2 linked regions of the Arabidopsis thaliana genome follow. The protein of the gene in region 1 interacts with the protein of each later gene in a pairwise test. Each region holds a gene or a part of one and is shown on either strand. Other genes may lie near its edges.

Evidence for each region.
Region 2: the proteins of AT1G51805 (region 1) and AT4G14815 interact in a protein complementation assay, tested with the Arabidopsis thaliana proteins (one large-scale study listed by BioGRID).

The regions. Positions count from the first base shown.
Region 1 is NC_003070.9:19,219,401-19,228,317, forward strand, and holds AT1G51805 (Leucine-rich repeat protein kinase family protein), read right to left. Parts: upstream 6,398-8,917; 5' UTR 6,191-6,397; coding exon 6,118-6,190; intron 6,023-6,117; coding exon 5,497-6,022; intron 4,785-5,496; coding exon 4,306-4,784; intron 4,217-4,305; coding exon 4,072-4,216; intron 3,988-4,071; coding exon 3,916-3,987; intron 3,822-3,915; coding exon 3,750-3,821; intron 3,657-3,749; coding exon 3,585-3,656; intron 3,494-3,584; coding exon 3,318-3,493; intron 3,236-3,317; coding exon 2,988-3,235; intron 2,893-2,987; coding exon 2,766-2,892; intron 2,674-2,765; coding exon 2,608-2,673; intron 2,521-2,607; coding exon 2,331-2,520; intron 2,196-2,330; coding exon 1,787-2,195; 3' UTR 836-1,786; downstream 1-835. Other genes in the region: AT1G51810 (Leucine-rich repeat protein kinase family protein), read right to left, coding at 7,719-8,088, 8,182-8,371, 8,471-8,536, 8,787-8,913.
Region 2 is NC_003075.7:8,502,811-8,506,934, reverse strand, and holds AT4G14815 (Bifunctional inhibitor/lipid-transfer protein/seed storage 2S albumin superfamily protein), read right to left. Parts: upstream 1,893-4,124; 5' UTR 1,814-1,892; coding exon 1,501-1,813; intron 1,417-1,500; coding exon 1,390-1,416; intron 1,306-1,389; coding exon 1,175-1,305; 3' UTR 983-1,174; downstream 1-982. Other genes in the region: AT4G14810 (uncharacterized protein), read right to left, coding at 2,426-2,590, 2,695-2,790; AT4G14805 (Bifunctional inhibitor/lipid-transfer protein/seed storage 2S albumin superfamily protein), read left to right, coding at 3,736-4,114.

The DNA.
Region 1 (8,917 bases):
CAAGGGTTTAAATTGCATAGATTGATACTTGAAGGGTTTAATCAGCCCATGAGGGACTTTTCATTAAATGTTCTAAAAAATATAGAAATTAGTTTAACATCAATTATTACTCTCTTGAGTTTTACTTGGTGGACGCTACCAAAAAATTGGTATTGAAAAGCCCGTTAAAGTATGTTCTCGATCACCATATATATATATTCGATAATAGGGGATGCCAAATAGATGCATCATAAGTTGAATGTGAAAAGCATTTTATGGCACAATCGTGGCAGTTAGCTCAAAATGAGTTTTATAATAAAAATCATGGTTTTCAAATTTAGAAACTTGGAATCGAGTGAGGAATATCTCAAACGATATCAATTATTCAAGAAATCGATGCTATATGGATGGATCATGGAAAGAAAGAGAAGTTCTGTGGAACATGATGATATTGTACATCATTAAATGGAGAGACGCCACAATGGGAGCTGGCAATCCCAGAAAAAGTCTATCTCTACTACATTCAGAAGTGCAAGCTTTTCTCTGGGCGATAAAGTGTATGATTACCGATAACAATTAAGAAGCAGTTTTTCTAACAGACTGTTTAGATCTGGTGAAGATAGTGTCTTCCCCAACCAGATGACCAACATTCTCAGCCTATTTGGAGGAATTACAGAGTGACAAAGAGGAATTCAAAAGTTTTTATTTATCTTTTATTTCACTTAGTGCAAATATTAAAACAGATAATTTGACACAAAAAGTTTGTGTCAAACTACATCATATCAATATAAACAATATTTCTCAGGAATTTTGACCTCTAATTAATATCGGATGACAAAAAAAAAGAGTTCCGTCGTTTTAGATAAAAAAAAAATTAACATAAGATAATTGAATTTGTTTATATAGAGAAAAATAACATGTTTTCGACAATTAATTTAGATTCGAATGATAATAAATAAATTATTTAAACGCTGTTCAAAAAACATTTAAATAGTTGTAAATGTAACTACAATTACAAACCTATAACAAGGATGGTGAAGATAGTGATAATGGTGGCCCAGAGAGGATTGGGTTTACTTCTCATTTTCAATGGAAAAACTGTTGATGTTTTAAAAGTTTAATAAACATGAACAAAGCTTACGAGTATTTATAACAAAAGTTACATTTGTCTATTTCTAGTACATCTCCTTCAATTTTGTCATAATTCCAAGGTTCTCCACTGATTCTAGTTTTTTGCTTTTCTAACTAAGTACGTGAAAGTCTTAGAATCACACAATTATTTCTGTTAACTACAACATTAAATTGAAATATCAAGATTTACTATTGGTGATTCAATCAAAAGAGAGAGAAAATTACCAATAAAAATCTGAAAATTTAACTCGAGCCAAATATATAGATAAATAATCCGCATTAGAGTTTGTTTAAATGGTGTGAAATCAAAGAAAAGGATAAATCGTCAAATGATGATAGATTATCCCTATGGTAAAAATGGTGGAGACTATATTACATAGAAATGGGTGATTTCATTCCAACGTAGGAGCTTCCGAAGTGGAGGTGTTCCAATAGTAATCAAGAACAAGAGTAAATCTAAATTCTCCAAACAAAAAATGCACTGATTTGAAACTGATACATTACGGCGGAACAATAATAGACTTTGGACTGTTATTCACACATGTATCAATGACAAAAAGTTCAGAGTTCATTAACAAAGGTGGCCTATAAGAGAGATACTAATTTGAGGATAGTTCTGTAAATAAAAACATATAAACAAATTTATGTGATACCGCATGATAATATTTCATGTAATCTACCTAGCCATTGGGCTCACATCAGTATCAAATGTCAAGCTTACCTCTAGGGAACTCTTTGAGTCCATGTCCCTACTCGCTCCTCCCCTTGAATTTTCAGATACCAAACATTCGTTTAATGCAATAAGAACTTGAGACATGGTAGGTCTTCTTGTTGAAGAAGGATTCAGACAAGACATTGCTAGTTCAACAGCTTTCCACACAGAACCAGAATCATAGTCTCCATTTAGACTTGGATCCATAATGCTAATGATGTCTCCTTTCGTAAGCATTATCCCCACCCATTCTGAAATATATGGCTTTTCACGGCTTTGGTCTATCACTGGCCGATTTGTGATCATCTCCAACAATACAATCCCAAAACTATATACATCACTCTTCTCTGTCAACCGATTTGTTTTGTAATATCTGGAGAATTTAGGAGCATAGAATTTTATCAATTTACCTTTCCAATAAAACAAAATTCTTTTAAACTATATTACTTACTCTCTTTTACCAAAATAATACAATATATAATAAAAAAATAATAATAATAATACTTACTCAGGATCGAGATATCCAGGAGTTCCAGCAACAACTGTTGACACATGAGTTTCACCTCCAATCGGAAAAGACCTTGAAAGCCCAAAATCAGCAAGTTTGGCTTCAAAGTGTTCATTTAACAATATATTTGTAGTTTTGACGTCCCTGTGTACCATTAGTGGTTTGCATCCATTATGCAAATACTCAAGCCCTATGCAACAAAATCCATAAAATTCAATCAAATGAAAAGCAAAAAAACATATATAAGAGAAATAATAGGGATACTAGGTAAACCAACCTTGCGCAGAGTCAATGACTATTTTTAGTCTAGTTTCCCAATTTAAAATAAATCGGTTTCTTGTTCCTATGTTTTAAAAGGAGAGAAAGATATCAATGTCTGATGCTATCACGATAAATCTACAGCAATATATGGTTAGGTCATGTTTGTTTGCTTACCTGACATATGTTCTTTTAAATCTCCATTGGCCATGTATTCATAGATAAGAGCCATGTTCTCTCCTTCGTCGCAATACCCAACAAGACCAACCAAATTCTTGTGATGAACTCTAAGAAGAAGTTCTACCTAAATACCATGCCAAAATGCATATGTTTAAGCTTTTAAAGATAGTTGAATCATTGATGTTTTCATTCGAGACAGTGATGAAAGTTAGAATTTACCTCAGCTTTGAATTGTTTATACCCTTGAGATGATGAATGAGAGAGTATCTTAACAGCTACTTGTTCAACACCGTTCACAAAGCCATGATAAACGATTCCAAACCCTCCTTTCCCAAGGATTCTTTGGAAGTTATTTGTCATTATCACAACTTGTGAGTAAGTAAACCTTTTGTTTTTCGTCACTATTGCTGGTTCAGAGGATCTCGGCGATCTACCATCTGATGCTTGCATGTAAGATGGTAGTGTCCCTAAGGTTATATAAGGCAAAATCTTGTTATGTTTGATGTGCATGTATGCTCTAATATTAATCTTGAGTTTATTTATTGATACCTTCAACTTTTGATGCCTTTTTCTTTCGGAAAACAAGGAACAGAATGAGTGCACCTATAATAACAGCCAATGAAACAATTGATGCAACCACTGGTACAATGATACTCTTTTTTTCGCCTTCTCCTTTGTGCATACATGAACCAGTTGTGCAAAGAATATGGGGATTGTCATCAAGACTGCAGAATGTGAGTGTTGTTAAAGAAACAAAATACATCAATTTCCCTGATATATATATAACAGGTTGAAAGTAACAAAAATATAGCTTACTGTAGCATCAATCCTTTCTTCTGAAGAAGTGAGGCAGGAACCGGGCCACTGAGGTTATTGCCTCTTAAGTCTCTATTGAAGTAGAAAAATAGTTAAAGGATAAACAAACATGTTCAGGAGAATGTCAAGAGTAGAATATATTGTAGTGTCTCATGAAAAACTTACATGACCATGATTGATTTTAAGTCAGCTAGAAATTCAGGTACTTCTCCGGTCAAATTGTTATTTGACAAGGCCCTTCCATTAACAAAAGTGAAATAACTCATTAAACATTATCTGTTTCCAATGGTTACAAAAATTTTGGCTTGGTCAGCAGTTGAGATAGACTTACAATATTTCTAGGTGAGTAAGATTTTGAATGGCAGGCGCGATGATCCCGGTTAGTCCACTTGCAGATAAGTCTCTGGAGAAAGAAACTGTGAGATATCTAGTTCAAAATTGACATGATTAAAAAAATCAAGAAAATCTATTGAATGATTCATCTTACAAGAAATTAATTATTGGTGGAGTACTATCTGAGTAACTGCACTTTAGACCGTCCCACGAATACTGTTTGGGGACACATGGATCTCCTTGCCAACTGCTTCTATTAATCAATCCATAAGCATTTTGAACATTCTTGATAGCAGCAGCTACGATTGTAAAGCTTGATGATATCAAGAATCAACACACAACACGCTAAACATTTTGAAATAAGATCAAGAATGTCAAATTGACATACCGTCATCTTCATCTGTCTCCACTTGTAGGAAATCAATCACGGTGAAAGCCTCTATAGCATTAAGTAAAGGCGGAAGAGTTGATTTTGACGTCTTCACAAGCTGCAAAATACATGCCCCATCTTCGCATTCCTCTGGTTTTAAGTTGGTTTCTGTTTCGGTCTTTAGCGGTATTGGACTGTAAGGTCCAAACAAGTCATTTCCATTCAGCATCACATTGAATTCCCTTGTATCGTTGGCCCTTAGTGTCTCAAGCTCTGCAAAGTGCATGTAGGAGTAAACCTTTGTAGTAGGAGGCTCTACGTTCCATGTAATGTTCAATGTCTCACTATCGTTTAGAGGTGTTGCGCCCGTTGCCATTACATCTTGTGATAAATCATAATTATCAGTAACGTTTACACCCAAAGTCGTCGATACTTGTGCCCAATTATTTTCCAGGAAGGATGCATGCCATACACGGTCATAGATATCATCTGGATACCTGCCACAAGTAAATGTTAGACCACATTACACAAATAAAAAGTTATGTTTACTGTCAATGTAATAATATAGTATTTCTAATTATTATTAGTTTTTTAATTTTAAATAGACAGAACAGCAAAACAAATTGAAAGGAAATTGTGATTTGAAAAAATGAAAACTAATCAAATCGAAAAAGTAAGGTACAATATAAAAATATAGAACCTAGAAATTGAAAATATGTAAACTATAAAATTTACATAAGACTCATAATATAGAAAATTAGAAAATAAGAGTTTGTTATCGTGTGCTTTAGAATTCTTACATGACAAAAATTCAGGGTATAACTTTAAATCTGACTTATTACATTAAAACAAAACATTTCTCAATCGTTAGATTTTTTTTCTTTTTTTCTCTTTTTCTTTTTTTTGTTGCAGCATGTTAGAACAACTAAATTCAGAAAATAATATTCAAAAATATATATTTATTCACCTAAAGGGATTATTTAAGGGTAATATGGGTAGTTTTTGAATTTTAATAATCACGAATTATAAAACATAATTTACAGATAACTAAAAGAGGTTTTTAGTTTAAAACCTATTTATACGGGTTAGCAATTTAGAATCTAAATATTGTATATATTATCTACGTATCATGTGGGATATAATCTAGTAAACTATAAATATAATGGTAAATTTAAATTTACAATAGAATTTTTAACAAACAAGTATTACCTTATCGTTTGACCTGAGTCACTAAAATACTTCCTAAATAAGAGCTTGAGTGAGCCACTTTCTGTAACGTACACATTTTTCTTCAATGGTCGTAGCTCCAAGATATTAATAAAAGGTATAAAATCTCCCGTCTTAGCAAGACAAACCTGTAACGAATCGGATTTCGTCACATGGATGATCTCCTCAACAGTTTCACTGCGGCTTACCGTTGCCCATAAATTTGGACCCAAGTAAAGGTCGAAGTTCGGCTCATCTTTATGACCATCGTAATTTCCATACACGAATGTAGCCTTGATCATATAGTTGGTGTCACGGCTCACGTTTAAGTTGTAGCAGTTTCGTGCTCCGTCTGGAAAGTATCTCAATGTCAAATTCGGTGTACTGTTGTTCTCTTCGAATTCCTTGGCGATTTTACCAGTTTTCCCACTGCTAACTAAACCGACATCTGATGTATATACTAAACCGGTTCCGAGTGCGTTGTAAGGAGAATCACGAGGGAGTAAACCGCAATCCACATTGATGAATCCTAATGAAATAATAGATGGAAAATATATATCTTATAGTCTAAGAAACCATTGAAGAACACATATGTATAGATTGAAACAACAATTTTGTATGTACCGGGTTGATCTTGAGCTTGAACAAGATGAAGTATCAGCATAAAAGTGGCAACGAACACACGATGACTCTCCATTAATATCTTCCTTACTATGCAAAGAAGGGATCTGTTTTTTTTTTTGAGTTAGCAAAGCTATGCATATAAGTTTATGATTATGTATATGAGGTATTTCTCAAAGTCCTAAGTCAAATTCTTATAAGTGTCACATTAATGAATCAAATAATTGAGGGAACACATTTAATGAGGATATTATTTCGATGGTGTAAAATGATTTGGTTGAGAGAAAATGACAAGAGTGGTCCGTTACCTTGCCCAGCCGTAATTACAGCTTACAAGTTGGAACCACAAAACCGTTGACTAAGTCAACTCGAAAGAACAATCAGTCTTTAGATTCTCCTTGAATTTTCTTATCTTCAATATTGTCAAGGATATGCTTTTTTCTATATTATGTGGACATAAGTAATCATCTGATAACCATTAATGACAATGACTTCACTTTGTAGTTTGTAAGCAATGTGTTGCCTTAGTTGACTATAGATTATTACAACATATGAATCTTGTTTGATCCTTTGTCAATTTGTCAAGTTGTGCTACTTGATATCCTTCTCTTGTTTCTTTGCTCCGTCCAATATTCTGCTCAGATACTTTCTTTTTCCAACAAAAAGTAAATTTTTGTCACCAAATTTTATGTACCTTTTGGATTAAGTATATATATTTGATTATATTCCCAATGGCTTGGAGCAATCATTTTATGGTTTTAAAAGTAGAATAAGCAGTTATAGTGTGAATGTGTGATATTTATTTTAAAAATGTTTGAAGGACACTCAGACCAACTCCAACGGGAGTTTCTCATAAAATCTCTCACCAATAAAATAAGAAAAAAATGTCAAAAGGAGGAGAGAGGTAAGGGAAAGTTTTCTTTAGAGAAACCAAGAAAAACTCATCGACAACGTTTCTCACAGTTGTCATTCAATCATTGGTTTAATTAAAATACTTTCCAATTAAATATTAATAATATTTGTGTTCACACTTATATTTATGTTCACACATATATTGAGAATCGGAAGTTGAGAAGTTGCCGTTGCTGATGCTCTCAATCTGTTATTTCCAAAATTGTCCCGTTCTATTCCATGTTTTGCCCCAATGTCGACCAAACTATTTCTATGATTTGCCCCAATGAAGAGAATCTATAAACCAAATTTCATCAATTTTGTAATTTGAAAAGCTAGGAGGTGAGTTTGCTTCTTTTATTGTCAGGAATTTCTTCTGTTTCCGTACTGGTGACTGGATCTCTTAGGTGACGCTGCTTATATACAAAGGTCACTCTGCATGTTAGAAGTTGAAGGGTCATAAGCAAATGCTATAGTTATTAATTCATGGTTATTTTTGGTAAAAGAAACATGCACCACCACCCATTATTTAATTCATGGTTAGTTGGAATAAACTGAAACATGGGGGAAAAAAGACTTTGAACTTCTATTGTAATTAGAAGTTCATTGCTTACAAAAAATAAAATTGATGCACAAAATTTAGGATAGTTGTAAAGGATATATAGGGTAAAATAATGATCCACGCGATACAATAGGAAATATAATCAGGACCTCTACCGAGCCATAGGGGCCACTTCAGTTCCGAAGGTCATGCTCACTTCCCTGGAGCTTTCAGAGGCCAAACACTCTTTCAGTTCAAAAACAACTTGAGACATTGTCGGTCTTGTCATCGAAGAAGGATTCATACATGACATTGCTAGTTCAACAGCTTTCCAAACAGAACCAGAATTATAATCTCCAAGGAGATTTGGATCAGTAATACTTTTGATGTCTCCTTTCGTAAGCATTCCTCCCACCCATTCTGCTATATGTCTCTTTTCGCGGTTTTGGTCTATCACGGGTTGGTTTGTAATCATCACCAATAATACAACTCCAAAACTATACACATCACTTTTCTCCGTCAACCAATTTGTTCGGTAATATCTATAAAATAGTTCAAAGTGCAAGAATATTACGTAATCATTGGAGACAAAATATCTACAAAATATATTTTCTTATTGAAGAAGTAATACTTACTCGGGATCGAGGTAACCAATAGTTCCAGCAACAACAGTTGATACATGAGTTTCCCCTTCTATCGGGAATGATCTCGAAAGCCCAAAATCAGCAAGTTTGGTATCGAAATGTTCATTCAACAATATATTTGTGGTTTTAACATCTCTATGAACCATTAAGGGTTTGCATCCATTATGCAAGTACTCTAATCCTATGAAAAATATTATTTTCACAAAGTTTCAGTCAGTCAAAGCAAAAGAAACAAAGAAAGAATATGATGAGGTTAGGTATTTGAGAAATCAATACGAACCTTGTGCAGCCTCGAGAGCTATCTTTAGCCTTGTTCCCCAATTTAATATAGAACCACCTCGTTTTCCTATGTATTGTTAAAAAAATAACTAATGTGTGTTAGATTCTTACATTCAATAGACAAATATTCAAAATTATATTCAAAAAAATAACTAATGAGTGAATTGTAAATGACAAAAAAATATATTATTCTGAGTTATTATTTGTTTTTCTTTTTCTTAAAGAGTTACCATTTGGTATGTTATAGTTTCACCATGATGTATTGTTATGAAAACCAAATATGTTGCCTTTCTAGTAAAAACAAATATTATGTTTACCTGACATATGCTCATCTAAGTCTCCATTGGCCATGTATTCGTAGATGAGAGCCAATTTATCTCCTTCTTCGCAATACCCGACAAGGCCTACCAAATTCTTGTGATGTACTCTAAGAAGAAGTTCAACCTAA
Region 2 (4,124 bases), on another chromosome or scaffold:
TTATTCTTAGACCAAAATAAATAGTAGGGTTGTGACTTTTGATATGATATGTTTTTAGATGTGTTAAGTCCACGTTGATGAAAATATTTATTGCAGGATACCAATGATTTTTGTATATGAAAATAAAGATTTGACATATTTAAACAAAACTATGGGAGGGCAAGGAGTTGCAATAATTGGCTCCATGTTCTAAAGGGACATGAGGTTGTGATTTGTGGAAATGGAGACAAAGGTGGTCTTGTTCAAGGGTCCCCTTCTACCATTATTTGACCTTCATTTCATGCACATATCAATTAATATTTAGTATAACTTGCGAACAAAAACTACAAATTCATTATCACAAAACAATACTACATTCTATAAAAAAACTGATGACTTGTCTTCTAAACAAGTCTATAAGAATCACTAAATTTAATAAAGTTTGCAGAATTTTTCTGTCAATCTCACATTTAAATTAGTGAATCACTAGTTTGATTAAGAAAAGTAGGTGTTAGTTAATTTCCATTATCATTGTTGCTTTGACTTCTCTAGACATTTGTTTGACTCTTGCTAGAAACTGTCTTCCAGATTTCAGCCAGCATATAAATGTTTGTCTATAGCTTTCACAACATATGTTCTGGAATATTAAAAGAGAAATACCAAAACGATTTACAAGTATGCAACTTAAAAATAGAGAAATTTTTGAGAAAGGCGATAATTCCCTTCGTAAAATTACCGGCAAAAGAAAAAGTGGATAGAGACGCGACACTCTGCGCAAAAGTTTATGGTGAACATTGAGCAATAACATTTAGGGTAACAGACAAAGCTCATATTTAGAAACTGTGACTAAAATGGCAACAATACATGTGTTTGTGATAGCAATCGTACTCCTTCTACAATACATGTGTTAGTGATAACAATAGTACTCCCTCTAAATTTTAAGTGATGTTTAGACATATGTTAGTGATAACAATACATATATATATCATGTATTTCAAATATGTCCTAGCTAGAAAATAATGTTTATTGCATAAATCAAAGATATACAATCACACTCTTTGGACTACAAACCAATATCACCTAGAAAGTAGGGATTTAGAGCACAAAATACTTCAGCACAATACACCGCGATTTAATAGAGACTAAAAATGAATATGTTCTTCAAAGAGGCCAAAAGCTTTATTGGTAAAATAAGTCAGTATTTTGCGTAGATTAATGTAATGTAAGAAGCTGTGAATAGGATGGCGAGAAGAGGGAATGAGAACTTAATAGAACCATCAGATGATGACTTTTCTCTTGGGACTGTTTTTGATCCATTTCCATGTTCTGTTCATAGAGATAATGTCAAAAAAGGATAATGTCAAAATAGATATGATTAGATTAGGTTCTATTTATAAGTTAGTCCTTTACCTGAATGTGAATTAACCGAAGAACCACCTGAAAATAATAAAGTTCTGATGTGTGAGAGAAAAAAGATAGCAAAAATATGAATCTAATGCATGGAAAGTGAGTTTATTTTACTATGGCAGCGACTAGCAGGAGGAGTTTCAACATGACAAGCTTTAGGCAAAGCAAGAGCTTGTGTCTCATTAACATTGATCCCAAGCTGAGAACCTCCACCATCGAGAACCTGACACAAACACTCAGAAGAATACCGGACAACATGAGCCAACTGGTTACAACATTGTTGAGACGGGAGAGAAGTGTTTTGAGTGATGAAGCTGAGACACGGCGCCATGCTGATTAGAACATTTGTGCAACTCGACTGAGCAGAAACAATCGACATTACTCTCATTAAAGCAATAAACAAGATTAAACACATTCTAGGTTTCATGTTTTTCTTGTGTTCCAAGAATCTCTCAAGATTTTTTTTTAATTTAGTTGTTTGATCGCTTAATGGTTTGTGTTGGAGTCTTTTCTTTTGTGGTTACGTAAATAAATAAGAAGTTGAGGCCGCAGAAAAAGACGAAAATAAGGATGTGGCTCAATTTGCATGACCAACTTTTGCAACACCTTATGGTGAAGTTTGTGAAAGAATATGATTACGTTTGGTTTAAGGATATGTTTGTTGAATTATTTTTTGTGATTATATAAAGTTTTTGAGTTTCACCTGATTGAAATTTGATTGCTGACCTTTTCAATGAAAAAAACAAGAAAAAAAATAAGATACGTAGATAAATTTGTAGAAACCATTAAAATTATAAGCAACACCAAACACTTACTTGTGAATTGTTCATTTTAATATGGTTGTTTGAGTTTATTGGTTTAATTTGTGTTGGAGTCTTTTTGGGAGTTCGTAAATAAATAGAAACTGATATATGTCGCATAAAAAAAAAAAACAAAAAGAAGGATGTCAGGATGTGGCTTAATCTGCATGATCTAACTTCTCTATTTGATAAAGAGCATGACCAACTTTTGCAATATAAATATGGTAAAGTTTGCGTTCTTATTCAGAAACTGAGATTCCGATATGCTCCACCATACGTAAACCATTATTAGCCAACACTTCACGATCTTCACGACCACCGAAAAACAAAACCACGACAAGAAAAAACATCTTCTGACGAAACTTAACTCGAACCACCGAGTCCACGGTCAACGAATATTCAAACTAAGCAAAGAGCCTTCAAGAAAAATTCTTCAAGATATCAGATATTTCACGAAGATATCTGCATAACAGCTACGAGGAAATTGTGATTTTATCGTTTCACAAACATCAACAGCTCCATGGATCGTTATGGACGGATAAATCACAATCACTATCCTTTTTCTAGCAGCTGTTGAGCAGGTTTCTTCGTGAATATCTGGCATTTTGGTGGATTTTACAGTTTCACAAGCATCAACAGTTCCATGGATAATTATAACGGTTTCACAAGTCTATGTTTGTTCGTTTTTTCTTTTTTTTAATTGTCTATGTTTGTTATGTTCTCTAAATTTATATTGATTCTCTAAATTTATATTGAGTTCAGTATGTTTGGAAGCACATGAGAACGTTCTTTTGATGATATTATTACCAGTATTCTATATTGGGTCATTCATAGTATTACTATTCCATACATTTCCTATTTGTTGTGGGCTGGTTATTCGTCAGCACCGATTTAGCTTACGATGTGTTCGGGAGCCCTCGTCCAAACGAATATCAACTAAATAAGTAATTAACTTTCCCACTTAAACTTTGAATGGATGCGGCGGACAAAAAGGTCTAATTTTTCTGCAGTTTAATCCATTTTATTTTTGGGCGGACAATAAATCGGTGCGTACCAAATTTATTTGTATATAAAAACGGTTTGCTGCGGTTTTTCTTTTTTTTTGGTCCGAACTACTGCGGACTATAATTGATGAATGGTAAATAAAAAGCGGTATGATCTGTTGAAGGTTTTGTTCGCCTCAACCGCCGTAACCATTAGATTTTTATTTATCCTCTTTAAAAAACAGAAGTATAAAATTTCAAAGTCAACTAAACTATAAAATGTCAAAAACATAAACTGTGGGCTTTGATATTCAATCTAAAAGCCCAAACGAAACTAATCTTCACCCACGTGGACGGACCTTAGTGGCCAGTCACTACCAACTCAGCATCACCCGAAAATATCAATATAGGGGCAAATTAGTAACTTCGTTATCAAACCTCCACAACTGTTTATTTCCCGCCACCATCGTCATACAATCTCAGTTATCGCTACGAATCAGCCATAAGTGTGAAATCTCTGTAACTAACTCTAATCACGAAGACGAGAGATCTCTGAAGCAACAAAAATGGCGACCAAAATCACCGGCGTTTTCATCCTCATACTCACGATCACCTTCTCCTCCTCCTCCGCCGTAACCGCGACGCAGCAAGCACCTTCGTCTTCTCCACCGGTTCTGACTTGTACGGAGGAGCTCGTCATGTTCTCTCCTTGCCTTCCTTACGTCTCCTCTCCACCAAACAATATGTCAGAGACTCCGGATCCTATTTGCTGCTCGGTTTTTACCTCCTCCGTTCATTCTAGCACCGGAAACTGTCTCTGTTATCTTCTCCGGCAGCCGATGATCCTTGGATTCCCGTTGGATAGATCTAGATTGATTTCTCTTTCTCAGATCTGTACCGATCAGAATTCCGAAGAATCTTTCGAATCTCTCTGTTCGGTATCAGGTTAATTTCG